7 linked regions of the Canis lupus familiaris genome follow. The protein of the gene in region 1 purifies or fractionates together with the protein of each later gene. This does not show direct contact. Links are inferred from orthologs where the notes say so. Each region holds a gene or a part of one and is shown on either strand. Other genes may lie near its edges. The genes, in order: VAPA, WDR44, OSBPL9, OSBPL10, RMDN3, ZFPL1 and LSG1.

Region 1 (3,204 bases):
CTGTTTGTTAAAGGTTTTTCTCCCTCCAGTGGGCGCTAGCTCTTTGGGAGCAAGGACCTGTGTTCATTCATCTTTGCATTCATAGCACATGCATATAGTAGTCATTCATATATTCGAATGAATAAATGGATGAACGGGTGAATGAGAACTAATTTGAATATATGCAGAGTGTATTAATAATTTGCCTTTGACAAGTACCTTATTTCAAGATGTGAATACCTTTAAATTGCCATTTTAGGTTTTGGAACTTTTTGTATCAAAGTAGATGATATAAAAATGTACATAAGTAAATAAGCTAAATTAAGTGACTTAATTTACATTTGATTCTTTCATCTGTTAATGTATATAGGAACTGTATATACTGTGAATCAGAGGCACAGTATCTTGGATTGATCTGTGCTGAAATAATTGTCTCTTTCTGTTTCACAGTACTCCTCAGGGGCCCCCAGCGCCTCTTAGGATAGTGGAAAAACTAGTTTCATTTCACACCTATCCACACATCATAGATTTTTAAGGATGTTGTTGTTACTCTTACTTTATCTGTCATGACTTCCATGGCATAGTTCTATTCTTTGATGAAAGGTGTGCTCCTTAGCATGCTCCGTACTTTTTTTGTTCAAAAAGCCAGTTTGTCTCTTGGCAAAGAGGAGAGTAGAAGTGGAAATGGTAGGAATGACATAAGTAGGGCAGGGGTGGGAAGAGTGCACAGGGAGGAAGGTGAGATTTGGATGCTGGTCTCTCCCCTTCATTGGCTGTTTGTAGGAGATGTTATTTGCAAAAGTGTTCTGCTGTTTAAAAGATAAAAGAACCTTGAAGATCACTGGCTTATAGAATCCGTTTCAGGCCCTTTAATAACATTTCATACATAAGGCCCATCATAATATGTTCTTTTTATTCCTCTAGTCCTGTGGTTCTTAAGCCAGGCTGTGCATCTCAGTCTCCTAGTGAGCTTTTAAAAAATACCAGGTCCTCCCCAGACCTAGTAAATCAGAATCACTAGGAGGGTTTTTTAAAGTTCTTTTTTTTTTTTTTTTAAATTTTTTATTTTATTTATTCATGAGAGACACAGACAGAGAGAGAGAGAGGCAGAGACACAGGCAGAGGGAGAAGCAGGCTCCATGCAGGGAGCCTGATGTGGGACTCGATCCTGGGACTCCAGGATCACGCCCTGGGTCAAAGGCAGGCGTTAAACCGCTGAGCCACCCAGGGATCCCGGTTTTTTAAAGTTCTTGAAGGGATTGAGAATCTGTGTTCTCTTCATGTAGGACTAATGAACAAAGACTAAAAAACCCTACAAACCCTCAGAGAATGTAGTAATTGCAAATAAAACAGTATGACCTGAGGTGGACTTTTTCATTTGGTGTTACGGAGCATGTTAGAGGAATCAAAGTGAGAAAATAAAAATGAGCTTGCACTAAGTAAGGAAGTAGCAGTCTGCCCTGTCATTCATCTGGTTGGGATGATGGACACAGATAAAGCCAGTTGCCTAGGTAACAGGTATCCGTATTTTTCCCAGGGTCACACAGTGGCTGGTAAAGTGTCTTAACAACTTCCTATTTTGAGTGATTACTGCTTTCTTACTGAGAAACCTTGTTCCCTAAAATCATACTGTCCAAAACTTTGCTGTGTGGAATCATACCAGTAAGAACCAAGCAGCCCTTCTTATCTAGAGGATCTGAGTCACTTTGACACACAGAAGCCCAGCCATCCTTTCCAGTCTAGGGGCATGCCTCCAGTAGGGGGGGGTAGGGGGGTAGGTGAGTTCTGTATATAACATTCCATAGCTGCTGTAGTTTGTCGTTTCCGAGGAAGCAGGATTTTGGTGTTTCCTTTGCGATCAAGACTCAGTGCTGACCCTTCTACACATATACCTTCTGCTTTGAGCTTAACGAAACACTTGCTATTTAAATTTTATCCTGAAATTCCCCCTTCCTGCAAATCCTATAAAATGCCTGTCTTTTCCTTTGGCCAGCTACTCCCAGTGCCTCTGCTGTGTGGGTGCCCTGGCTGCAGTGTGTCAAACCTGTTAGACCACAGCTTTGTTCGTGGTGGTCTTTGGTAACCAGTATAAAAATACTGCGGGCCACCATGGAAAAAGTGCATGCACTTTTATTAACATATTTTAGTGGAGTTTTTTTTCCTGTTGTATAAATATAGTTATACCTGCTTTTCAATTTTTTAGGAGTAAATTTTCAGCTCTAGTTTTTAAAATCGACATTATTGAGGAATCATTTATATTCCATTAAGATGCCCACTGTGAGTGTACGATTCAGTTATTTTTAGCAAATTTACAGAGTTATGCCACCATTACAAGACTCCAGTGTTAGGATGTTTCCATCACCCTAGAAGGTTGTCTTAATGCTGGTTAGCAGTTAATCCTTGATCCCATCTCAGCCACATGCACACTAATCTGCTTTCTGGCTATAGATCTGTAGCTTGGCAGTTTTACTGTATGCGTATTTGTTTTTAAAACCTCTTTGTGCATATATTTTTTTCAGGATGAAGGCTTAAGGCTCAGAAAGGTAGCACATTCGGATAAACCTGGATCAACCTCAGCTGCATCCTTCAGAGATAATGTCGCCAGTCCTCTTCCTTCCCTTCTTGTCGTAATTGCAGCCATTTTCATCGGGTTCTTTCTAGGGAAGTTCATCTTGTAGAGTAAAGCATGCAGAGTGCTATTTTTTTTTTCTCTTGACCAGAAAAAGATTTGTTTACCTACCATTTCATTGGTAGTATGGCCCACGGTGACTTTTTTTTTTTTTTTTTTTTTGTGTACAGCGTCATATAGGCTTTGCCTTTAATGATCTCTTACGGTTAGAAAACACAATAAAACAAACTGTTCGGCTCCTGGACAAATTGTATATTACCAGATCATCACTAGCAGATGTCAGTTGCACATTCAGTCCTTTATGAAATTCATAAATAAAGAATTGTTCTTTCTTTGTGGTTTTAATAAGAGTTCAAGAATTGTTCAGAGTCTTGTAAATGTTATTTTAATAATCCCTTTAAATTTTATCTGTTGCTGTTACCTCTTGAAATATGATTTATTTAGATTGCTAATAATCCCACTCATTCAGGAAATGCCAAGAGGTATTCTGTGGGGAAATGGTGCCTCTTACAGTGTAAATTTTCTCCTTTACCTTTGCTAATATCATGGCAGAATTTTTCTTATCCCTTGTGAGGCAGTTGTTGACTGAGTTTTTC
Region 2 (4,509 bases), on another chromosome or scaffold:
TCTGAAATCCAAAAAGTCCTGGAAACTGAAAATGTTTTGTATTTTTAGGAACTTATTTGACAGTCAAATTGATCTAACCTAAACTTATTTGGCAGTACTATCTAACCTGAACTGATGAGGCTATTTACTGGTATTCATTTACCCCGTATGAATAATCATACGGTTTGCTACAAAAAATATTACCATATTTGAACATGCAGTGTTTCCCCTGAATTCCCTGGGATGTTACAGAAGTTACAGTATATGGCATTTGGTTTTACTCAAGCACGCCAGACAACGCTAGATCTTTTCCCAGTTGCTTTACAAGGAGAAATTTAGAACCCCATTTTAGCCTCCAAGGCAAAGAGCCCAGAGCCAATTCAGTCTTTCCTGCTGCCATCTTGAGAAGTAGTTGAGGCTGAGCAAACAGTTCCGAGAGCCCGCCAGTCATGACGTCAACGGGAAACTAAAGCGTTTCAGCGACCACCTAGAAAGTCAATGTTATCACTTTTGTGGTCAATGATCCGTCAAGAAAGAACATCTTGGTCTTTCAAAAAGTACTTATCTATTTTTATCACTGGACATTGGACAATCTAGGGTCAGAATTAAGTTACTAGCTCTTAGCTCTGCCACAGTAGTATCTGTTCAATAAATATTTACCACTGACTGATCCACATCTTGGCCAGTCTGTAAGAATTTCTCTCACATTAAGTGTGGGCAGCAACAAATATTTGTTTAGAGAAAGAGTAACTGGAAGCCTTATGCTGGCTCCGCTCCAGCAATGAATCCATCATTACTTCATGGAACTGGCACACTCCCCACGATCTCATGGACCCCACCCTCTGGCCGGCAGGATCGTCTCTAGGGACCTCAATCAGAGATCCTGTAGTAAACAGCTCGAGTTATTCCCGTAACGCTAGCGGTGGTGGACCTGCCTATGCCCTAGGGTGGGATACTCTGGGCTTGGATAAATGAAGACGACGTAAATGCAAACCACAACGCCAAGGTTTCCCGACATCATTTCCTCACAAGGAAAAAAAGCAGACTCAAAACCACCCCTCTGAAGATGCGGGTCTTCCGAACTCCAGGGTTACAGGGTAAGACAATCCGCCACACCCCACCTACGTTGGGCGCACTCCCTAGGAGCCGAGGCACCACCCCGCTCCTGCGCAGGTTGTAGGCTCCTCCCTCCAGGAGGCTCTTCCCCACCCTCCTCGGCTACTTCCGTCCGTCACCGAACGCCCTCAACGCGCTTGCGCCGTTTTGATAGGCCTCTCGGGTAGCAGAAATCTGAGCGCCGCCGCTCTGGAACCGCCCCCGCCTCCTCTTCGCCCCGCCCACGCTCTAACCGGCCCCTCCCGAAATCTCGCGAGGTTAGGTGCGCGTCCGTATTTTGCGGGCATCTGGCTCTCCCAGCTGCTGTAATTGCTGCTGCGGGAGAAATTGGAGCCGCTGTCGTCGGCGCGCCCGCCCTCCCCCACAGAGAGCCACCGCCTCTTCGCTCACTCTCCCTGTACACCTATCGCCGGGAGCGGCGGCTGCAACAGTCCCTGGACCCACCGCCACCTCCTCAGGCTGCCGCTTGACTGGTCGTTCCCGCAGCGCGGCAGCTGACGGCGGCCCCCTGCTCCTCACCGGCTCCTCACTCTAGATCGTCTCCTCCGTCCCTATCCTCGCCCGGGACCCACCTCCTCACGGTCTCGCCGGGGAGGAGGACGACAAGGAGGAGACGAAAGTCACCCTCCCTCCAGGCGGCGCCGGCCCCCTCACCCGCGGGTGTGTCCTATAAATGGCGTCGGAAAGCGACACCGAGGAATTCTTTGATGCCCCTGAAGATGTGCACCTAGGGGGCGGCTACCCTGTAGGGTAAGTAACTGGAGCTATGGCCCAGAAGCCGGGCGCTCCGGTCCCCCGGTTTCCCCTGTGCCTTCCCCCCGGCACCCCTCCCAGGTCTCGCTGTGTCCGCCACCGCTGCTTCTCTGTTCTCACTCCCGCACTACAGAGGGATTCGGGGGAGGGGGAATGGCCCACCTTGGCAAAACCTCCTCCTTTCCCTGGGGAGCGGTCCCTGGGGCTAAGGAGCCCCTTTCTTGTCTTGCCCTGCTTTCTTCGAGGTGGGACACTTTACGTGTCCGAGAGCCGGCGATTTGTATTTGTGAGGTTCAGCGTTTTACCTTCGAAACATCCGTTTTGGCCTTGGGGACCACAGAGCAGTAACAGAAGAAATTGCACTTCCCGCTGGTTCTCTTCTTTTGCCGCTAACTTACCTATTCGTTTCGAAGGTAGCTTTAATTATCCACCGCCCTCTTCGTTGTATAGAAAGAAAAGGAGCGGCAGAGGGAAAGGTTGGATATTTACTTAGGAAAGTCCTCTAGCTGATGTACCTACATCAACAGTGTTTTACTAAAATAGCACCTCACCGTGAGGCAAAGGAAATCGAAGACACGGTCCTTACCATTAGGGAGAATGCCGTCTTAAAAGGATAGCCGGCCACAATTACAGTTGTACATAACCAACTACAGAAATACAAACAAGTGCTGAGTAATCTGTTCGTTGGAAGAGCCACAGCTTTGTCTTGTTTATCTAATTCTGCAAAATGTTTTAATGATGATTAGTTTGAGAGATTCTGAGTAAGAAAGTGCAGTAGTTGGAATGCTTTGCTTGTCTGGGACTGCTTGACTGGGACTTCTACTTACCGACTCCTCCACTTTTAAAAGTTGAAACAGGATTTAAAGCTATTTTGCCGAACTCCTCTACGGACTTGGGTGGAAATTGAGGCAGTGAAATATATTTTCATGCTGTAAGAACTCGAGAATTAGTGAAATTTGTATATTAATGTAAGTAGACACTTATACGGTTACAGGAATTTAGCTGCCTTCAATTCCCAAATTTTCCCCATGGAAGAAACACTGCTTGATGCAAATAAAGTTATTTGTACTTTCTAGAAGTCATTCTAAAGCTTAATATATTTTATATATAACATATAGCAAAAAAGTCACAGCAGCAAAATCAGAAAGAAATGTACGTTGTAGATGGCAGATGTGTTTCCACCAGCCTTCCTATCACTATTACGAGATTTTTGGGTGGCAAGGCCCAATCTTGAGTTGGCACTGAGTCTCCTTCAAGTTCAGTATCTGAAACAAGTTCATAGCTAGATGGTACAGGATTGAAAATACTTTTGGCGCCAAAATGTTTGGATTCCCTTGAAATTAAATTTTGTTTTTGTTGCTTTTCCCTTTGAACTGTCGATTTAGGTTGAATGATATACCTAATCGATTAATGCTTTTGAGTATGTGTGGAGTGGGGAAGGAAATAACTATGTATATGATTGTAATCATTTTAGAAATATGTGAATATTGTTCCTTCTCAGTGAACGAAACATTTAATTTTGAAGAACAGTTATATCAGGAGTTTATTTTGTCTAGTACTTGGCACAGAAAGAACCCAAATGTCCATTCCCTTGTCCTTTCTTGGAATTAACAAATTTAACTTCACACAGTGGTTACTTTGAGAGGAAGTATGCAGAACTTGGAGCTATTTAACTTATTTAAATCCAGTGAGTCATTTTGATAGAATTGATAGAATCACTTCTTGCCTCTTGGGATAATAGAGCTTCTCAAGTACTTTGATCCTTTGATAGTAGGTGAAAAGTAAAAACGTCTCTTGGGACCTAACCTTCTAATTTTAACTCTAACTTCTCCAAATATTAATGGTGTTGAACTCTATGGGTAAAGCTATAGTGTCAGTCTGTGAATTTCATGGCTCCCATCTGTATTAGTAGGGGGGATTTGGAAGAGAATTAGGTTCGTCCGGACAGTTGCATCTGAAAAGAACTAGTAGTACTGGGAGGACTGAAAATGGTTGTGGCATCATTGATATTTCCTCTGTTGTGACAGGTTTTGTCTTTCGTGTAAGATACCTTGAAGAGAAATGCAATGAGAAATCTTGATTTGTGGAAATAGATGGTATCACTAGATATCTGGTCACCAGAAATATCTTCTGTCCCTTGATTGAACTGCAGTGGCACACCATACAGACTCTTAAGAATTTAACAAGCTGAGTTTGCAAACTTTAAGAAATTTTCCTTGCTGACGGGTGTACCACAGTACATAGATCATTTCATCAAATTGTAGTGAACCGGACAGCCCCGGTGGCTCAGCGGTTTAGCGCCACCTTCATTCCGGGGTGTGATCCTGGAGACCCGGGATCGAGTCCCATGTCGGGCTCCCTGCATGGAGCCTCCTTCTCCCTCTGCCTGTGTCTCTGCTCCTCTCTCTCTCTGTGTGTCCCATGAATAAATAAAATAAAATCTTTAAAAAAGAAAAACAAATTGTAGTAAACTGATTCACAAGTGAAAGTTATCTCATGTTTTGTTAATCAGAATCCAAATACACAGTCCATTTCCTGAAATTGATTTATTTCTTCTGTTCCCTTCAGTGGTGTCTTCAGTTTTGTTCTACTCTTTATAGGTTAAAGATCAGCCCAGTTTCTTAATAGAAAGACTTCATTCCAGTACTGCCTACTTTTCCA
Region 3 (3,919 bases), on another chromosome or scaffold:
TGGTGATAGCAGAGGCAGGATGCAAACACAGGTCCTCTAACTTCAAGATCAGAACTCTGCTCATTTTGATTCTGGACAAACCACACTGCTTTAGGTTTTATCCAAACTACTAATCAGGCCCAACATTATTAATTAATTCATAATATAAGACCCCAGTAAGACCCAAATCTTACTTAATTCATATTATCCACATATACTATTTCTATGAATTCTAGCTTCATGTATTTCACCCATTTGTAAAAATTCTCAGTTTACTCATCTACATATATATTAAACCACAAATGTATAAACGGAAGTTATGTCATTACGCTACATTTTCAAGCCACATTCACTACACAATCACCGAGAACCCGCACATACACAGTAAGACTTAACAGCAAATGCCAAATTTGTTTCTTACCTTAGTCAGATCCATTCCAAGCCTAACCTGTGACAAGAGATGCATGATAACACTTTTGTGCTCTTCTACTGATCCTGCCTCCCCTTCATCATCTCTATCATCATGTGAGTCAAAAAGGTCTAAAATAAAACAGATCTGCTTAGACTGGTGTTAAGTCAGACCAACCTGTGATGCTACCAGTGTCACAAATCTTTTTTTCAAACAAATATTTTTAGGAAAAAGAGTCAAATTCTCCAATGTCACTTACCAGCTTCACTTGTTCCATTGGACATGGAGGAATTAAGCGACTCTGTGGTATCTGGGCGCTTCAGACTATTTCCTGAGCTGCTGTGTGTCAAGACTGAGGCAGATCCGGATGAACTGAAAAACCAGTAATCACCTTCTTAAGCAACTGAGAGTCAGAGTAAGGCATTAACCTACAAGGCTATCTGAAACCAATACAGGCCGATCAATGACAGTGAGCTGGTCACACATACACAGTTCCGAACCCTTCTTCTGAGATTGGAAACTGTAAAGTGTGAGAACTAGGTTTCCTGTCTCGTGCTTTACGAGACTTTTTTTGCATAGTGTGTGCTCAACCAAATCATGCTAAAAGGTCATCAAATATTAGTAAGATTTTTGCTTCTGCATCTAAGTTTAAAGCTAGAGTTCATTTTCTTGTCACGTTACTTTACAGAAAAATATAATTCTCTGCAACAATTTCTAGAACCTCAAAAATTGCCAAGTCTGTCATACTTAGTCTCAGAAGATGTTTTCTCTGTATTTTTGAGATCCTTTGATAAAAGCCCACACTGGTATTTAACAGTATTTCCAGTCACTTAAAAACTGTATTTGAAATAACAAAATACAAAAGCACGGTATTTTTTACAAGCAAATTTATGGTAACTGAAATTATGAGCTGGTTAAAATATTAATAGGGTCTAAACAAAGTTTCCTCTATTATTATACTTATAACTGTAACTTATCCAGAATTAGTTGTATATTAATAAAATAATCAAAGTCATATAATTTACTTATTAAATATAAAAAGAAACCAAATTTTTCATACTGCAGATATTATATATAAAATAGTATACACATGACCAGTTTTTTGTTACAGATTTATGGATGCAAAGCATATTATATATTCTAATTTAAACACAGTTTGCCCTAATTACTTACCTTCTTTTGATTTATTTAATAAACTTCATTTTTAGAGCAGTTTTTCACAGCAAAACTGAGTAGAAACTACAGAATTCCTATGTGCTCCTTTCCGCAAACATGCCCAACTTCCCTCCCATATTATCAACATCCCACCCCAGAGTGTGCTCACTTGTAATAACTAATGAACCTACACTGGTACATCATTCTCTGACTTGATGTCCACAGTTCACATTAGGGTTCACTCTTGGTGGTACAACAGTCTATGAATTTTGATAAATGTAGAGAAGTATACATCATTATAGTATTGTATAGCTGCACTACCCAAACAATCCTCTGTGCTCTGCCTACGTTAGAACATTCTAATATTACAGTATTAGAACAATGTGTATTCTAATTTAAACGTAGTTTGTCCTAGTTACTTACTTTCTTTGATCTATTTTTCAAAAATCCTTAGGTAACTACTGCTTCTTTGATAATTTAGTAGTATACATCACAAGGTACTGAAACTAATGTCTACCTCACAGCTTTGAGAGCCAATGGAAAATATGAGTAAAAGACCTAGGTAAGAGAAATCAAATTAAATAAATCATTAAATAAAAGAGCTGCATGAAAGTTATTTTCAAAATGTTTTGTGGCTCTTTGATACATCATCAAAATAGAATCAATATTTTATTTTTTTAAGATAGATTTATTTATTTATTTATTTATTTATTTATTTATTTATTTATTTATTTATTTATTTATTTATTTATTTATTTATTTGAGACAGAAAGAGGCAGAGACACAGGCAGAGGGAGAAGCAGGCTCCACGCAGGGAGCCCGATGTGGAACCTGATCCCAGGTCTCCAGGATCATGCCCCTGGCTGTAGGCAGATGCTAAACCGCTGAGCCACCCAGGGATCCCCTAGAATCAATATTTTAAATCAATAGATCAAAAACCCCAAATCCTTTCAAATATGTATCTTATTTTATATACAATTCTAAAGGTTAGATCTATGCTGTGCTTTTCTTTTTTACTCAGGTAAGAAACCATGTCTGGGCCAAATGAAATGCTCAAAATCTCTCAAAATGAAAAAAAAAATGGGATCCTCATTTCTCCATAATTTATTGCAATCGGGACCAAAAAATTTAAAGAATTTAATTAAAAAATAAGAGCAACATTGATAAGAATAATACGCTTACAGGAAAGCTTTATCTGCAACAGGCTAACCTGTATAGTATGTAATCATATCATAAATAAACTAAACCAAAAAATGTGAAGTGCTGAGCTGAATTACAGTAACAGAATCCAAAGTCTTACTGAGCCCCTTGGTAAGAGCCAAACACTGTGTTTTCATCTCCATAACAATCTAAGCTCCCTAAAAACCCTACACAGTATTATTCTCTTCACACATGGATGCTCAGCTCAGAGACTCAGTGACTGGCCTCAGTTCACACGGCTGGTAAGTACTGGAGCAATTTCAAATCCATGTCTGGCTCCAAAGCACAAGTTCTTTCCAACACGGACTTTCATCTAGTTTATAACCGTGTACAGCCACACTGCTCACTAACAGTTCACACTGAAGCTGCCATTGCTACAGGTCTTCGGAAAGTGCATAGTGAAAGACTTAAGTTTTCCAGTTCTCTTTCTACAGAGACAGAAAAACAGTAGACAGAAACTTGAGCTGTGAGTCCGAAAATAAGTAGTAGCAGCCGATGACCAGCAGGTGTCACAGGCTCAATGCCCAGCAAGGTCAGGCAGAGAACATAAATACGTGAACTGGGCTAGGTAGTAAGGAATACAGCCCCAGGGCCAACACACTCCATTTGAATGGACTTAAGCCCATTTAAAAAAACAACACCCTGCCCCCAAATCAACAAACACCTTGATGGCCAAATAAACCATCTGCAGTCCCTACCAGTTTGGGAATCCAGATTAGGGCATACAAGGAGAACATAAAACTGAGGGGAAAAAAGGAATCCAATGGGTTAGCAGGACATAGAATTTAACCCTGGATCCTTTCAAATGGGAGGTTCATCAACTGTGTATTTGTCATGGGATGGGTACCAGGAAAGCCCAGAGAAGGAAGCTTATAATAGAAGGAGAAAAGAAAAAAGCCTATGAGCCTATAGGTGACTTTGTAGACATGCCCGTTACAGGTACAATAATAAAATTTTCTATTTTATAAAAATTTCAGGAGAACCCCTTGAAACTGGGGCCAGACTCTGATGTTAAAAAGAAGCTAACTAGGGATCCCTGGGTGGCTCAGGGGTTTAGCGCCTGCCTTCGGCCCAGGGCATGGTCCTGGAGTTCTGGGATCGAGTCCCACATTGGGCTTCCTGCATGGAGCCTGCTTCTCTCTCTGCCTCTCTCTCTGTGTGTCTCTCATGAATAAA
Region 4 (3,919 bases), on another chromosome or scaffold:
CCCCATAATAACAAAACCTGTCCCTCTTTACCACCACCCACCCCAATTCCAAAACAAAATAAAAACAAAGAACTCCACACACTCATCAATCATCTATCAGGTGTATAAACGTCACCGTGTCGGAGCCAAGCTCCCTGCAACATCCGGCATGGCTTACCTTCCCCTATCATGGAGACCCCCACGGACATGCCCATGAACTTGCTTTTGGTCCATACGTGAGTGTTGACGCACAGTCTCTTCTCCTTGCACTCACAGTAGAAGCAGGAGATGGGTGGGTGATGAGACACCTGCTCGGCCACAAACCTTAGTTTGTAGCTTGTGGAAGGGTCCTCGGCTACCGAGTGTTCGTGGCCAGCAGGAGAATGGGAAGCAGTCCTCTTTGGCTTGACCCTGTCTTTGGGGACCTCCCAGGAGCAGTGAAACGTCTCACCGATGATGGGGTTGTAGGGCTTCTTGGCCAGGGCCCCCTTGCGGCCCTCATGGAAGGCTGTGAGATAATACTCCACAAAGCAAATGACTCTCTCCTCGGGCGTGGCTCCCGCGGTAATGGCCAGCAGCAGGTCTGGGTGTGCCATAAAGTCCGCGTACATCTCCAGCAAGGATCGCTTCTCCAGGATAAATGTGGGAAGCACCACCTACATTCGGAAGGAGACAAAGTCAGACAGGAGACCCCGAGATTACGTGGAAAAGGCTGCAACCACCACCAAGCAAATCCATCGTGGCTTAAGCCAGAGAACGCTGTCTTTTGATTCATATACAAGCGACAGATTAGGGGAAATGACATCAAAGAAGACAAGGTTGGAGAAGTGGCTGCTGTGGTGGCATGATGCCACCCCACTTTCGTGGACTAGATGGTTCTGCGTGGCTTGCTTCTCTGCTCATCTGGACTAGAACAGCGGTCTCTACTTCCCCCTCCACTGCTGTCACCATCCCCAGACAAAACCCTCTTTTACTAACTCCTTATTACTTAGAGATGTGAAGAAAAGAGCACAAAAGGACTTCTTCCTTTTCTTCCTGACATCAGACAACCCAGGGGAGTGCTCGGTGTGTCCCCACAAACATGGGGCTTTTTGGTGCTGCATCAAAGGGGGTCCAGGTAGACCAGCACACACCACCACTAAGAGGGTTTATTTGGAGATCTCTGTTAGAAGAGTAGCATCCAAATCCCAACACGATCAAGGCAGAGCAGGAGTGAGGAAAGGACCCATGGCCCAGGTCTCTGGGAGGCAAGACCAATCAGCTAGCAAGCAAATGCCCAGAGAGCTGCCATGCAGAGGAAGGCCCATGTGTGGAGATTGCTCTGCAAGGCTGGGCCAGAAGAAATAAGCAGAAGTTACAAAGAAACAGGCTGACACTTAATACAGAATCTTCTGGCAAATGGACTGGTACAGGGGCTTCTCATGGGATTGTTACTGACATCACTATCAAAAAGAGGAGTAGAAATCTGGATGCTTCTGCCAGGGACGGGACCGAGACTCCTTGTTGATCCAGAGAGGATGCATGTGGTCATCGGGTGCCCCACAACCCCAATGAGGAAGTCAGTTAAAGCAAATGAAGGCCATTGTGACATTGGGCTGGAAAGCAGGTCCCTTATTACTATCGCTGATAGGCGGAGGAGAGCGAGCCTGTTCCTCACTGTTCTAGAGTGATCTTAAAATGACTTCATTACTGGGTATTAATACCAATCACTTGGCTGCAAGGCACAGCTCACTTTGACCTGGAGCATCTCAGCACAGGATCATGAAGCTGGAAGTCTAGCCATGGCCTGCTGGCTCCTCCCTAACACCCTCCAGGAGAAAGAGACAGAAAGAGAAGAGAGGGAGGCAGAGAGAGAAGAGCCACACAAGTTCAAGGCGATGCAGCTGGCTTACACTCCCTCCTTAAAGACTGAGTCTCCTTCCTTCACACAGTCCCCAACTCCCGAGAAAATACTCTCTGACTGCAAATGTCAAAAGGCTTACAGATCTGCAACCCTGCCTCCACCTCAGCTTGCTCAGACCCCTCCTAGCAAAGGGTGTAGATACAATGGCAGAGGGATGTCCTGAGAGAAAGAGACAGACAGGCAGACAGGAGATCAGCAAAGCACAGAGATTTCAGAGGAAGCTGGAAAAAGTCCAGCCCCCTGGAGAGGGGACTCTGCTATCTTTATTAACGCTTTTCTTGAGATTAAATACTACATTAGAGGAAAGAGTACGTACATTCATTAAGTAAAAAAGCAGCCAGGGGATCCCTGGGTGGCTCAGCGGTTTAGCACCGCCTTCGGCCCAGGGTGCGATCCTGGAGACCCAGGACCAAGTCCCACATTGGGCTCCCTGCGTGGGGCCTGCTTCTCCCTCTGCCTGTGTCTCTGCCTCCCTCCCTCTCTCTCTCTCTCTCATGAATAAATAAATAAAATCTTTAAAAAAGAAAGAAAGAAAGAAAGAAAGAAAGAAAGAAAGAAAGAAAGAAAGAAAGAAAGAAAGAAAGAAAGAAAGAAAGAAAAAGCAGCCAGATGTAAAGTCAAACATGTGACACAAATCTAGTATTACAAAAAGACCCCAAATGTTAACATGTATTTCTTGGTGTTAGAATTGAGTGATTTTTATATTTTTTTATAAGTCTCTTTCTGCTTTGCTTTTACAATATACTGGAAGAAAAGACACAACTATGCAAATCAATGGATATTTCTTCATTTTCCTTCAGCCAAAACTTGACAAAACTGAGACTCTGGCTGCCCCAAGGCTCTGAGCTGGCCAGGTAATGGACATTCTGGCTCAGAATGGCCTTCAGAGGCCACTGTGATTACTTCCTACATCTTTTGTGGGGACAGGTCACCATTCAATGGCCATTGCTGTGCTGTAGGGCGTCTGCTTTTCCAAGGGGGCTCTCGGGCCAGGGGCTCCCTCCACAGCAGGCGGCCACTGGCAGAGTAAAGGGGAGGCAAGCGCAGCCCCACACTCTCACCATGGCTCCCTCTCCTGCCCCCCGGCTGCCCAGGGTCACCCTGGGAGCTCTGCCCGACAGGCTGTGCGGGGACTAGGGGCTTAATCAGCCGTGGGACACCCCCCAATGAGGCCAAACAACTGAAAGAGAAAAGAAGCCACAAATGTCTGCATCTCCAGGCCTTCCCGAAACCTCCCCATTTCTTGTTCCTTCCCTCCCCCCGGCAGGGCCCGGTGATCATGAGAGAACCCGAGAGGGAAAGGGCGGAATTAGGGCGGGAGGCCAGCCCCAAACGCCCCTGCCGAGAGGGTCGCTAGGCGGCCTCAGCTGCGCCCTCTGCCCCTGGGGGCTGGGGCCTCTCTGGCAGCAAGTCCGGTGCTCCGGACAGGGGCATCCTCCAGCGTGTACCCGAGCCTGGCATCACAAGGAAAGACCCGGCCACCAGGGTCACCCTCTCCATATATACTTTTGAAAAGGGCAAGAACAGAAGGCGGTTCCCCCCAACTTAGCATTTCTGAACTCCGAAGCTGAAGAGTTAAAACAAGATAACCAGGGGACACAACGCCACTGACACTCCAAATGACTGACTGTCAGGACGGAGAGGGCCCCTCCGGGTGATGGAGTCCAACGCCCGGGTCTCCAGGTCGGGGGACAGAGACGGCAGATGGGGAGCGAAGGCACCACACAGGAAACTTGAGGCTCCCAACTGCCACCCCAAATTCTTCCCATTACCCCCCACACAACACAATTATCCTGCTTCTGGCTAACGGGAGCATTTTCTTTCCCTCAGTGGACAAGGCAGGTGAGAGTTCACTGGACAGAAGCCCTGGGACAGCTGGGCCACCTCACCTACTGCCATTGCTTAGTGGGGGGCAGGGGCCCGTGGGTGGCTCAGTCACTTAAGGGGCCAACTCTTGATTTTGGATCAGGTCATGATCTCAGGGTCCTGGGATCGAGCCCCCCCCATGGAGCTTCATGCTCACCAGGGAGCCTAATT
Region 5 (3,919 bases), on another chromosome or scaffold:
TCTTCCTTAGCTGCAGAGAATTGGGGCTCTGGCCTTCTCCCCATGCCCTACCTTTGAGTTTCCAAGCTAGTGTTACAAACTGACATCAGGCCAGCCTTATGCATAGCACTCCACCCCCACACGACCTCGCACCTGCAGTTAGCTAACTGATGCTGCGTCATCTCTAGCCAGTAGATTGCATAACCTTCAGAGTGAGGGCATTCTGGCCTGATACTGTGAGGAGGAAAGGTCAACTCCAAGATGAAATGAGGCACAATGAGAAGTCTAGCTGATAGTGAAAAATGTGAAAATGCCCAAGAAAAGGAAAAATTCTAACTGGGGCATTTATAGCTGGTGAGCACAAATTCTGGCAGTTAACCAGAAGAAGAGGGAACTGTGGTTGAGTGACCTATACATTTGTCACTTGTGATGGAAACTTCAAGTAGGGCAGGCAGCTTGGGCTCTACCTCAAGGGAAATAAAAGAGGAAAAGAATATTCCAGCTCTTTCTACATTTCTCTCTAAGAAGGAGAGCTCTTTTGCAATAGCTCTATAGGAGGCAGACGACCATAGGGAGGAAGCTCTGGGGCAGGCGGTACACCTAGGCCCCAAGAGGCAGTGCATGGCCTACTTGGAATAGGATGTGCAACCCTGAGGGATACATGCAGAACCAGTCACCTCACCTTCATTTCCCTTCCTATGTCACCTTGCAGGCTTAGAAACTACAGTGGCCTTCCTCCATTCGCAGGGGGGCTGGGAGGCTATAAGGGCAGACAGGCAGCTGGAGCCTTACCACCAGCTTGTTGTTGAGCAGCAGCTGGAAGCCCTCCCGCTTGCCCTGCTCGCCGCCCTGGTGAAGCTCGTCAGCCTGCTGCAGGAGGGGCAGCACATCGTCCAGGCCAGGGAAGCCTCCAGTCTCCGGGGCTCTGGCCACCGGGCCCGAAGCCATCTCCACTTCCAGGTCCAGAGAATCCTTCCTCCCCATCTTCACAGTCTCACAGCTCACTTCATCTTCCCCGTCATCACTTTCCCTGTCAGAGTCCCGCTCATAGTCAGACTCAGCATTGGCTGTTGTGTAACTGTGGCAGAGAAATGTAAGTGACAGAGTCAAGGGAGAGTATTAGCCTCAGGACTCTAGGCTCTATCTCCCACCCACAAAGAAGGGCTCTTATGATGCTGCTTGCTGTCCAGAGCGCCATGTAAAAACCATTTCTACCACTTAGGGGCAGAAATTAGTGCTTGAGAGAAAGCTTCCTATGGGAACTATGGGCTGGGAAAATGATCCTAGATGGAAAGAGTGACCAGCTGGGGGCAATATGAGAACCCCCTGTTGAGCTACCACCAAGTTGGTTAGATAATCAGAAAAAGAAAAAGGCTAGAAAGCAGCAGCCTAGAAAGGAATGCATCAAAATGTTGCTAGTAGAACTCAGGATAAAAGAACTAAAGGAAATTTTTCTACTTTTTAACATATATGATTGCTTTAGTGAACATACATTTTTATAAGTAAAAAAGGAATACTTAAGATAAAAACCATAATGTAGGTGGAGCTGATCTGAGGTAGATGTGAGCCTGGCTAAGGGTTTGTCAGTCACATTTGCTTTATCAGCCAAAAGCACCCACCAGAAACAACATGGGTGGGTGCCAGCCTCTGAGGCCATGGGCAACCCAAATATCTACATTTTCTTTCCCAATTCAAGGTACACCTCTGTCCTGTCAGCAACCAAACCTGAACCACAGTAGAAAAGCACCTGGAAACCTTAGGAACTTGCTGGGGGAGGGGAAAGGCCACTTTGCAGCTACACTCAGGAGAGGAAGATGCAAACAGAACCACCTGGGAAGGTATCTCTGGGGCCGCCACAAGCCGGACCTATCCAAGGATAGGTCTATTCTTGGAACCCCCAGCACTCCCTGAAGAGGAGGCCACGTTTCTCTTGGATCTTGGCTTTCACCAGTGGCTGATTAGGGTGCTCTCCCCAACTGCCAACTGACTCAGACAAAAACTGAGCAGAGGACAATGTCGGACTTCTAGGGCCTGGAAGCAGATACCAGAGAAACCTCCAGACTTGAGTAAAAGAAAAGCAGATTCAGTCAGAGCCAGAAGGTTCTGAAGCACAGGCAAGACCTTAGGATCATTTAGGGATATGCCTTCCTCCATCCTAGAATGAAAAATAGGGACAGGATACCTATGCCTGGCATAAAACAGGCCTGAAGGAGAAATGAGCGAGGCACCTACAAGTAAAGGCAGGACAAAACAGCATCAAGTCTGGCTGCAAGTGGTAGGCCAGAAAGCCAGACACAAGGAGGCAGGCTTCGTCTGGAAGGTACCAAGTGAGCAACCAGACCGAGTGCCCAGTCCCTGCTGCTGCTTCACAGAGGAGCTTCCACACTCATCTAAAAAAGGGCCCCAGGAACAGCTACTACAGGAACTTGACCTTAACTTCACCTTACTTTTAAATATATTATCCAACTTCTTTCCCCTCTAGCAATCTGCAGTAAAAACTTTTGAAATTAAAGGGACAAAGAGAAGTGGCATCAGATTTACAATGAACTTGGGTGGTGACGAACAAGACCACACAGAGGCAGCCTAGACAGACTCCCAACCAATTCTGAAGGCTTGGACAATAACCTGCCCAAATGAGAGAATCAAATCAGAGTCTACCAGAGCCTCCTACTCAGCCCAGCAGGCCCAAAGGCAAGATGGGTAAATGGGCTATCTGGATAAAGAGCTAGAGTCTCACATCTCCTATTACTAGAAAGAAGGGGAGACACTATTGCCTGCTGAACTCCCTCCAATAAGGCATTCAAATCAGGAGTCTCCCAGCGAGGGACCCCTGCTCTTCTCCCTCCTAGAGCATAAGTATCAGCACAGTCTCTCTAGTGAGCTGAGCCAGGAGGGATGTCCAGCACTGCCAGGGAGCTCGCATGGCTGAGCAGGAGGAGTGGTCAGGAGGGACTTTGCTGGTGGGGCCTGTGAGGCAGGGAGGCTCTTATCACACCTCAGCCCCACATCAGGGAGCTGCCTCGCTAATCTGCCACCCTGCTGGCTGGCACGCAGCGGGTGGGCAAGCACCTGCTCAATGAGCACAGACATCAGCCCCCATGAGCTTCCGGGGCTTCCGCAGGTATGAAGGCTGTCTCTATAGTAACACCATGCTCTCACACATCTCAGAACACCAATCCAGCCCCGGGAGAAATCCACCAGGGACAGGGGTGTCCTTTTAACATGCCCTGGGGCTTTTGAGATCTGCCAGGGCCTGGGAGGGACCTTTGAGATGGCTCTTTGGAGCTGTGCCCTTGGCTGGAACACATTGTTCCCACAAACGGAAGAGAACCCATGGCTCCCGCGGAGGCCAGAGCTACCCTACTCTACCCCTTGAGGAGGGCCCACAAGTCAGTGATCAAGGACTCAGTTATACACATATTCCCTTCTGATAATTAACTTTCTTTCTTTTGACTCTTCCTAAGCCCCTTTAGAGGGGCTGAGCTAAAGCATTCAAAGGCAACCAGGGCTGAGAGACTCCCAGTGGTGGGGTAGATAAGAGCAATGTAAATGAGGTGATAAATGGCCAAGAAGGAGTGGCAATGAGGTTTCGGGCAATCCTTGGCTGAGAAGGCTTGCTGGAGAAGCTGGTGTTTTAGGATAAGGTGGTTTTGGACTAGGAGAGAACTAAAGCTATGTTTGGTCCTGTGTTTAAGAACAAGCTCATGGAGGCACCTCGGTGGCTCAGCGGTTGAGCATCTGCCTTTGGCCCGGGTCCTGGAGACCCAGGATCGAGTCCCACGTCGGGCTCCCTACATGGAGCCTGCTTCTCCCTCTACCTATGTCTCTGCCTCTCTCTGTGTGTCTCTCATGAGTAAATAAATAAAACCTTTAAAAAAAAAAAAAAAAAGAACAAGCTCATGGACCCACATGAATCACACAGTGATTCTGCCTCTGCCAC
Region 6 (4,482 bases), on another chromosome or scaffold:
AACCTGACAAAACATCTCAGGATCATGGGGAAGGTAATGACTATGTTAGTGAAGAGGGAAGCCACCCGGTGGGCCTCTGGAACCCCAAGCCCCCTCCACATAAGTCACTCCACTCCCTTTCCATCCTCTTCCAGACTGGAAAACTCCTTGGCTCACCATGAGTCAAGGGCTCAGGATTGCCCATGTGGATCACTGTGTGCTGCTCGGGCCGGCTCGGGGAAGCAGGGGGCCGGGGGGCTTGGCTGTAGAAGGATGGGGCAGCAGAGGCGCTGGCTACCTCCTCCTGTTCAGGGCTACCATTGGCTGTGGCAAGAAGAGAGCTGTCAGCAGAGCAGGGAAGCAAGGCCCCAAGGGCAGTGCAGACCACTACCTACCATTAAAGCTAGACCAGTCAGAGAAGTCAGAGGTGTTGAGGGGCTCAGGTTCCGGGCTCACCACTTCATCGATCTGGAGGAAGGAACCTGTGTCACCAGCCTGCTCAATACTGTCCCTACCCACCCATCTGGCCCAAGTGGGACCCAGGGCAGACGGTCGGTCAGACACACAGATTCTCACCAGAGGAAGGCCCAGTCCTGCCCGGGCCCAGTTGACCATGGCCAGCTTCTCTCTCAGTGTGGAAGCAACAGGGCCAGCCAGGTTGGTTGGGGGGAAGATGGGGCCACTGCAGATGGGGCACTGGTAGCCAGCAGGAGCTGTGTTACGGGGTAGCTGGGCGGCACGTTCATTGAGGCAGGCCCAGTGGAAGAGATCTTAGGGCCAATGAAATAGGGGAGGAGAGGCATGAGGAAGAAGATATGTAGGATCTCTAGCCCGGCAACAACCCCCAGTCTGCTATGTGGATGTATGTATACGCGCACATGTGAGCTCATAGCCTTCTCCTTCCTGTCCTCACTCAGGTCCATTTTATCAGTGTTCCCTAAGATTTCAGCCTTCTTGGCCACCACTACCTGACTCAGTCAAGGGAGATGCTACCAAGATCCCCAGCCCACTAGAAGGGAGAAGCCTACTTCTCCCTGGGGTAGTAGGGATGGGAAGAAATGCCAGTGACCCTTAAAGTGAGTCCTCTCTGAACATGCACTTATCACAAGCTCCTCAAGCTAACAGCTAATCAGGAGCAGTTTCATAAGTTCCTAGACACACACAAGTACACGTATGCATGTACACACCCACACCCATGGGCACAAATGTATACATACAATAAAACACAAGTACCATCCCTGTATCTACACTTGTAGGCACACTAACTCCCACACAGAAGCTTTTATACAATCACATTTGCTAAAATTCAAGCACCATAACCCAAGCGTTGTCCTATAACCCCACAACACACCTGTGTTCATACTTCACACGTTTACCCATTCACTCATGTGCAGGTACTAAGGAACACATTAACACACATAAAGTTAAAAAAAAGCTGAGCCTAAGCCTCTTACATCAGTCAGGTCAAGGTCATGATACATATGACTAACTTCTTTTAGCTAGTTACTGTGGGAAACTCCCTTCCTCTCTGTTTAGTTGGAATGAATAATAGATCCCAGATGTCTGAAAGCCTCATGCCTTCAGCTCCCTGCTGGTCCAGCCAGCTACTGCTCACAGCCCAAATGTTACAAGTTTGATTGGCTCTCACTCAACCCTGTAAATGGGCAGGTAAGAAAGTAGGAGCTTTAATTTTTAGGGAAAAACACTGAGGCCTAGAAAGGGAAAATGACTTGCCTCAGCTCACACATCAGGTAAATAACACAGCAGGACTAGAATTTGGGGTTCCAGCCTCCCAAGCCTGGGGAGGTCTCCATTGCCCTGCTGCTTAGAGAGGACGTGGAAACTGGTCACCAAGCTGGGCAGGCCTCACCGTAACAGACGAGGCGGGTGGTCTCCCGGTTGGCCAGGGGTGTGCTGCACAGGCGGCAATTCGGGTTGTAGTCGCTATCTTGAAGCCACTGCAGATAGGACTGGACGATGCACTGGAGTGGGAGACAGAGGTCACAGCGGGGGCCCAGCTGCTTCTTTTTCTCTCATCACAAACAAGAATCATACTTTCGTTTGTTCAATCAATAAACATTTATTGAGCACGCAGTGTGCCAGAGTCTGTCTTAAGTGCTGGGGATAGAGCCGAGAACAAAAGAAACCAAGTTCCCGCCCTCCTGGAGCTTCCATTCCAACCCCAGGGCCTTCTCGGAGTTGGAGAAAACCGACACTGCCGGCCCACCCACTGCCCTGCTTCGCCCCTCCCCTGAAGCCCCACCTTGGCGTGATTGGCTACCAGGCAGTGCTCGCAGACGTTGACCCGGTGTTCGAAGCAAAAGAGATTGGTCACCTTCCTCTTGGGGCACTTGCAAAGTCCCATATTCGACCCTGAGCAAGGGGTCGGAGTTGAGAGAGCCAGCTTCCGGTGTCCGCCACTACGAACTCACAAGCCCAGATCGTCTCCACTCCTAAATCCCCTAAACACCTCTCATGATCGCCCCAACCCCTAATTCCTGCCCACCGCCCTTCTACATTCCGGGCCACGCCTCCTGAACGAATTCCGCCTCCAGTGACCCCTCATTTCTCCTGGATCCCGCCCCCGGCCAGGTCCCTCCACCAGCGAGTCTCCGGTACCACCGGCCCCGCCCCCAGGGGCTCCACCTGAGCCCCACCCCCTCCAAGCCCCGCCCCCTGCTTCAACACAGACCCCCCCCCTCGCCCCCCCATCCGTGTTACCGATCGACCGCCTCACCGGTCCCGACGCGCGCGAGCGCTGGTCCGAGGCGCGGAAGGACAGACACTGCGCTCAGCCGTGCTCCCGCTCTGCGCGCTCTACCTCGGGCCGCTCCGATTATCCCTCCGCTGCCACGTCTCTTCCGGGTGCGGCGCCCACTGATGACGTAAGTGGACCGCTGACCCCGCCCCTGCTGACGCTGCGCGCGAGACGGATGGTAAACGGAGCACGGCGTCCCTCCCGCCTTGCGTCATTTCCGCTTCCTCCAGGCAGGGCGGGTAATTCGAACGTTTCGGTCTCTGTGATCCCTCTGGGTTGGCGCGAGCCCCGGCGGCGGAGGCGGCGGCGGAGGTCGAGACCAAGGCTAGCATGTCCGAAAGGCGAACACGGTCCGGAGGGGCCACACGGCACTCCGGTGAGCCGAAGGCGCGCGGGAGCCTGGGGCCGAGCCGTTTGAGGGATGGAGTCCCACGAGGAGGCCCCCCCCCCCCCCCCGCGCTCTAAGAGGCTCATTCCGCCGTTAAGGAGCTTGTTTGGGGAACCTTCTCTCGCTCTCTCCTGAATCTCTTCTCTAGACTCTGAGGCCTAGAGTCTTACCTTTACCTCCTAACTTCTTTCTCTGCCAGGGTCCAGGACTTCATCTCCTACTCAGTCTCTGCGGAGGTCCCAGCGGAAATCAGGCCCTGATCTCCCGAGCACCCTCCCTGAAATCTGGCCCAAGGTGAGCCCTGCTTTCTCAGCTTCTGTCCCGGGGGCCGCTGGACTAATGTGGAGCTCATATTCACTGTTCTTTTCCAGGCTCCCAATGCGGCTCCAGTCAGAAAGCCCATCGTGTTGAAGAAGATCGTAGCCCATTCTGTAGAGGTGAGGACTGAGAGAGGGGTTGTGGGTTGGGAGCCAAAATTGCGTTTGAGTCTTTGATCAGTTATTATTGTCTCCACAGATCCCATCTATCCACACGCCTCGAAGGAGCCCAAGGGTGAGTTCATTTTCTTTCGTCGGCTCAGTGGAGTGGAATCCAGGGCACTCTCGAGATGGGGCAGGATATACTGGCTGCTCACATCTGCCCAGGGAGCTGTTTTGAGGTACAAATCTTCCTGCACTTAGGACAGGGTTACTTTCTGATAAAACGGTCATGAATTGAACACGTAGTATGTCAAAAATGCAATTAATGCGCCGAATCTATCAAACGTCGTACTTTAGGTTATCATGCCTTAAACGTGTTCGGCACAGTTGTATGAGCGTATAGTTAAATTATCTGATTCAAAGCCTATCCATAATAAAAAATTGAATACCACTTAATTTTATCAAATACTGAACTGAAAACGAACGACAGAATGGTTGTAAATTTGTCAGTTGTTTCCCCACGTGATGGCATGGCTGACTGGGAGCTGCAGCTTGCTGCCACTACCAGCATCATGAGAGAGGATCTTAACACATTTCACTAGCCTGGGAAAAGATCAAAATTCGAAGTGCGATTTCTATGGAGTGCATATCAATTTTGCACCGTCATAACACAGAAAAATCAAAAAAAAAAAACACAGAAAAATCTTAAGTCAGACCCTCATTAAGTTGGGAAGCATCTGTATTTTGAAACAGTTTGCCTTTGGACAGCTATGTGCATGGCCAGTTTTGCTCACTCCCTGTGGATTTCATACGTTTAGGTCTTGATGTCCTGATATTCTCTGCTTTTTTTTTTCTTTTTTTTTTTTTAAGATTGTATTTATTTATTCCTGAGACCCACACAGAGACAGAGACGTAGGCAGAGGGAGAAGCAGGCTCTC
Region 7 (3,919 bases), on another chromosome or scaffold:
CTTCAGTTGTCTTCTAGGGTTCACCAGCTACCTTGTAGACCTGCTCCCGTGTATGACTGGGTTCGCAGTGTGTAGTTATGGAAAGTACACTTTCTCCCTTTTGAAGTTAGCCATCATTTACTCCTTCCACATCTTCTGAAGTATCTACCATTTTTCATGATTTCCCAAGACCAATAACTAGCTACCATTGTGACATCACTGCTGTAATCACACTTGTCATTTGAGTATCAAACATGAACTTACTAGGAATAGTTTAATAGTCACTGTTTTCTCAACCATCTGAAGTTTGGTTCTTCCTTTACAGTTGTTAACCCCTTCTTTTTTGGGGAAAAATGACAGTTTTCAAGCTGAGTACCTGGTTTTCTCTTGGCCATCTGTTAAATTGCACTGTGTTTCCCCAAGGGATTGACTTTTCCCTTTTCAGGTTTACTATACTACCACAAAGTCCTTCTGTTGTCTTTATCATTTTTCCTGAAGCTAAACTGCTTCAGTTTTAGTTTTTTTAATGCACGTTCAGTTCACATTACTGTTTTCTGTTTGTTTCATATTTTTGAAATGATTCAGAAAAGCTCACAGTGAAGACACGCCATCTTCTTTACATTCATTGCTCATTTCTCATAGAAATTGTTTCCAGTTCTGTGGCTCTGTTATAAGCCATGCTGCCGTGTTGCCTTTTGATTTGCCAGCCTAGCCTTGATCATGAAATCATGCCTATCTTCCCTGACATTTTGTTTATATCTCTAGTTTAGATTTAGTTTACTAAAATTTAGGATACTAAAAAAAAAAAAAAAAAAATTAAAATAAAATAAAATAAAATTTAGGATACTTATTTAACTGAGTTCATTGTGTCCTCTTCTATTATGGTTATTCATTCTAACACTAGGTAATTTAGAAATTATACAAGGTTTGTATCACTTCTAGATGCAAACCAGCTCACTCTTGTTGATTCAAATTAGTAATACTATATATTGTCTTATTTTTGCTTGTATTGTCAGAATTCTTAAGAATTAACATATCCCTGAAGAGTAAATTATTTTTGTTCTTTGTATATATGTGTATGATTTTCACATGTTTCGTTGCTCATGTATTTCATCCAGAAGGTGCTATGCTCCACAGTGCTTTGAGTTATTAAAGGCAATTATAAAGAAATAGCAGTTTCCTTAAATATGCAAACCATGGTCTTTAAAAATGCAAACGTAAAAAACTCAAAGTATAAACGTTTCCCTTCTTGCTTTGTGCAAAGAAGAGAATATTAAATGTTTAATTGTTAATGAGAAATGCTTTGTTCTACAGCCTGGTGCAAAATAATGTACTGCCAAAGAATTCAGCTTGACACAGGCTTTTCTAAACGCTTACCTTTTTTTAAAGATGTATCTAGGGCAGCCCGGGTGGCCCAGCAGTTTAGCGCCTGCCTTCAGCCCAGGGCCTGATCCTGGAGACCCGGGATCGAGTCCCGTGTCAGGCTCCTTGCATGGAGCCTGCTTCTCCCTCTGCCTGTGTCTCTGCCCCTCTCTCTCTCTCTCTCTCTCTCTCTGTCTCTCATGAATAAATAAAATCTTAAAAAACATAAAGATGTTTTATATACATCTGATACAAAAGTAACAGACATTGTACAAAGTTCAAATGATATAGAAATATATAAAGCGAAGGTCCACTGCCCCTCCCATCTCCAGAGGGCACTACTGTTAATAGTTTATTGTGTCCTTTCACCAAAAGGCCTGCCTTGTCTCCCTATTTTCACCTTTTCTGGTTTCCTTTATAACTTACTTGGCTTCCCCTCTGTTCATCTGAGATAACCAACCCTGAGTACTTTCACTAGAGTGAAAGGTGCCATTGTTGTCCCTTCTGAGCTTTTTGGTTTCTTTCATTTCATTGAAAACAGGTGAACAGGAGTGCTGGAGAAGCCAACACAGCCGAGTCTGAGAAGTCCGGTTGTGAAGAGGCTGCAGTTCCATGCAGTGAGCCTAGACATCTCCCAGACAGGGCTTCCCTCTCACTTAGTGATGTTACCACTAGTGATGAAGATGCCAGTGAGTATGAGGACTGTCAGGAGGAGGAGGAGGAGGTTTGGCAGACATGTTCGGAAGAGGACGGCAACCCCAATGAAGAGGCCTATGGCCGGGACTGGCAGGGAAGCTGCACTGCGGATTCTGAGGCTCAGGGGAGGAACACCCTGCGGAAGAGGCACACACACAATTTTAGCCATCTGGTATCAAGGCAGGAATTGTTGGAAATCTTTAAGCAGCTACACACTGGGAAGAAGATGAAAGATGGACAACTTACGGTTGGACTGGTAAGATGAGATAGGTCCTGAGATTGTTATTGCATGGGTACCTTTTTTGTTTGCTCTTTAAGATATATTTTATTTTAGTGAGAGAGGATCCCAAGGAGACTCTGCACTGAGTGCAGAGCCCAGTGCACAGGGCTCAATCATACGACCCTGAAATCTTGAGCTGAAACCAAGAGTTGACTACCCAACTGATTGCATCACCCAGGCGCCCCACCATTTATTTCCAATCTGTTGGTAGCTACACTGGAACCCAAGGGCCGAACCAAGCTTTTGGTGTCCTAGGAGACGTTATTGCCCTCTTGTTGCCCACTGGCACTGTGGGAATAGGTAAAGCCCAACTCTAAAGAACGAGCTCTCTCAAGGCTTACACTGGTTATGCCCCTATTCCTATTAATTATCTTCTCCCGTCTTCCAGTTCAGCCCTACCACACGTGTGGCTTACCAAGAGATAGTAGAATGAGAAAACTTCTAAGGTTGTCTTCAGACTTGCAGTTCAGTAATCTTACCCTCTATCGGCTTTTGGTGTGAAGTGGTCCTTGCTAGCTTGTACTGTAAATGTTCCACCTGCAATTTAAGGAGAATCCCAGCATCTTTCGGGCCAGGCAAAGCATGGCTGCCGCTTTAGTTGCCTAAGAACAAGGGAAAGGAGATCACATCCCTAGCTGTGTATATGCTAATTCTAGAGGTGGCTGTGAGAAGTGCTTGGACTTTAAAGACAGACAGCACAGCTCCAGAGGTCCCATCTTTAGCTAAGGAAACATAAGATGTTAGAGAAGGTATGTTAAAGGCCTCATCCAAGAGATCAAACTTGTGAGAGAAATAGATTGTGGCAGATTTAAAATCTTCTAGCTCTTAAGTTACATGCATACCCCCCTCCCGCCCAAGCCTAGTCACTGATTGTAGCAGGTCAACATCTTTGTTTTAAGATTTATAAATAAATAAATATATATTTATTTATTTGTTTGTTTATTTTTAAAATTTATTTATTTGAGAGAGACAGACATAGAGCACTAGTTAAAGGAATTGCCCCTGGAGCCAGGCAGACCTAGTGCTACTGTGAATGGATTCACTTGCTATAAACCTTGGGGAACTTACATCATTTCTTTCAGCTTCATTTCTTTGTATTATTGCTAAAAATTCATTTTCTACATGCCATCAGAAAGCCCAGCTTCCCTAAAAGGTAGTTTCTTTCTTTCTCACATGTATGGAGATGCTAAACAGACTCTTCATTTTCTGAATGTTTTACACTAGAAAACCTGAGACTAGGTTAATTTACTCCTGCTGTGAACATTTATTGATCACCTGCCACAGGCCAGGCATCCTGCTGGTCCCTAGCCATGTATCAGGAGACCAGACAGACAGAGTCCCCACCCTCCCAGAGCATGTAGTTCCAAGTATGGTGAGTGAGAGAGGAGGACAGCCAGCGGCCTTTGGAGTGTATAGTGAGGGAGCCTGAACTGCAGAAAGTGGAGCAGATGACAGCCACAAAAGCACCCCACCAGCAAAAGGCATCTATACAAATAGTAATATGTCATCTAATCAAAATACAAATAAGCACAAAGCATGAGGAAAATACTGAGATTAATGAACAGTTATCTGAAATTTTTATGTAAGAGCTTGCACCTTAAA

The links.
Region 2: the proteins of VAPA (region 1) and WDR44 purify together in Homo sapiens (affinity purification with mass spectrometry; 3 studies listed by BioGRID and IntAct, counting the BioPlex papers as one, with this or other methods). This does not show direct contact. The link is inferred for Canis lupus familiaris from reciprocal best matches to the Homo sapiens genes VAPA and WDR44.
Region 3: the proteins of VAPA (region 1) and OSBPL9 purify together in Homo sapiens (co-immunoprecipitation; 5 studies listed by BioGRID and IntAct, counting the BioPlex papers as one, with this or other methods). This does not show direct contact. The link is inferred for Canis lupus familiaris from reciprocal best matches to the Homo sapiens genes VAPA and OSBPL9.
Region 4: the proteins of VAPA (region 1) and OSBPL10 purify together in Homo sapiens (co-immunoprecipitation; 4 studies listed by BioGRID and IntAct, counting the BioPlex papers as one, with this or other methods). This does not show direct contact. The link is inferred for Canis lupus familiaris from reciprocal best matches to the Homo sapiens genes VAPA and OSBPL10.
Region 5: the proteins of VAPA (region 1) and RMDN3 purify together in Homo sapiens (co-immunoprecipitation; 4 studies listed by BioGRID and IntAct, counting the BioPlex papers as one, with this or other methods). This does not show direct contact. The link is inferred for Canis lupus familiaris from reciprocal best matches to the Homo sapiens genes VAPA and RMDN3.
Region 6: the proteins of VAPA (region 1) and ZFPL1 purify together in Homo sapiens (co-immunoprecipitation; 3 studies listed by BioGRID and IntAct, counting the BioPlex papers as one, with this or other methods). This does not show direct contact. The link is inferred for Canis lupus familiaris from reciprocal best matches to the Homo sapiens genes VAPA and ZFPL1.
Region 7: the proteins of VAPA (region 1) and LSG1 purify together in Homo sapiens (co-immunoprecipitation; 4 studies listed by BioGRID and IntAct, counting the BioPlex papers as one, with this or other methods). This does not show direct contact. The link is inferred for Canis lupus familiaris from reciprocal best matches to the Homo sapiens genes VAPA and LSG1.

What each region holds. Positions count from the first base shown.
Region 1 is NC_049228.1:75,972,363-75,975,566, forward strand, and holds part of VAPA (vesicle-associated membrane protein-associated protein A), read left to right. Parts: intron 1-2,498; coding exon 2,499-2,657; 3' UTR 2,658-3,204. UniProt on the Homo sapiens protein: Endoplasmic reticulum (ER)-anchored protein that mediates the formation of contact sites between the ER and endosomes via interaction with FFAT motif-containing proteins such as STARD3 or WDR44.
Region 2 is NC_049260.1:91,249,953-91,254,461, forward strand, and holds the start of WDR44 (WD repeat-containing protein 44), read left to right. Parts: upstream 1-1,352; 5' UTR 1,353-1,768; coding exon 1,769-1,845; intron 1,846-4,509. UniProt on the Homo sapiens protein: Downstream effector for Rab11 which regulates Rab11 intracellular membrane trafficking functions such as endocytic recycling, intracellular ciliogenesis and protein export.
Region 3 is NC_049236.1:9,561,930-9,565,848, forward strand, and holds part of OSBPL9 (oxysterol-binding protein-related protein 9), read right to left. Parts: intron 761-3,919; coding exon 648-760; intron 520-647; coding exon 401-519; intron 1-400. UniProt on the Homo sapiens protein: Interacts with OSBPL11 to function as lipid transfer proteins.
Region 4 is NC_049244.1:13,246,168-13,250,086, reverse strand, and holds part of OSBPL10 (oxysterol-binding protein-related protein 10), read right to left. Parts: intron 636-3,919; coding exon 158-635; intron 1-157. UniProt on the Homo sapiens protein: Probable lipid transporter involved in lipid countertransport between the endoplasmic reticulum and the plasma membrane.
Region 5 is NC_049251.1:8,171,709-8,175,627, forward strand, and holds part of RMDN3 (regulator of microtubule dynamics protein 3), read right to left. Parts: intron 1,058-3,919; coding exon 772-1,057; intron 1-771.
Region 6 is NC_049239.1:52,617,838-52,622,319, forward strand, and holds the start of ZFPL1 (zinc finger protein-like 1), read right to left. Parts: upstream 2,878-4,482; 5' UTR 2,717-2,877; exon of another isoform or gene 2,701-2,716; intron 2,353-2,700; 5' UTR 2,345-2,352; coding exon 2,243-2,344; intron 1,962-2,242; coding exon 1,850-1,961; intron 750-1,849; coding exon 556-749; intron 448-555; coding exon 375-447; intron 304-374; coding exon 157-303; intron 1-156. Other genes in the region: CDCA5 (sororin), read left to right, coding at 3,068-3,113, 3,325-3,419, 3,497-3,562, 3,642-3,677. UniProt on the Homo sapiens protein: Required for cis-Golgi integrity and efficient ER to Golgi transport. Involved in the maintenance of the integrity of the cis-Golgi, possibly via its interaction with GOLGA2/GM130.
Region 7 is NC_049254.1:31,816,955-31,820,873, forward strand, and holds part of LSG1 (large subunit GTPase 1 homolog), read left to right. Parts: intron 1-1,882; coding exon 1,883-2,293; intron 2,294-3,919. UniProt on the Homo sapiens protein: Functions as a GTPase. May act by mediating the release of NMD3 from the 60S ribosomal subunit after export into the cytoplasm during the 60S ribosomal subunit maturation.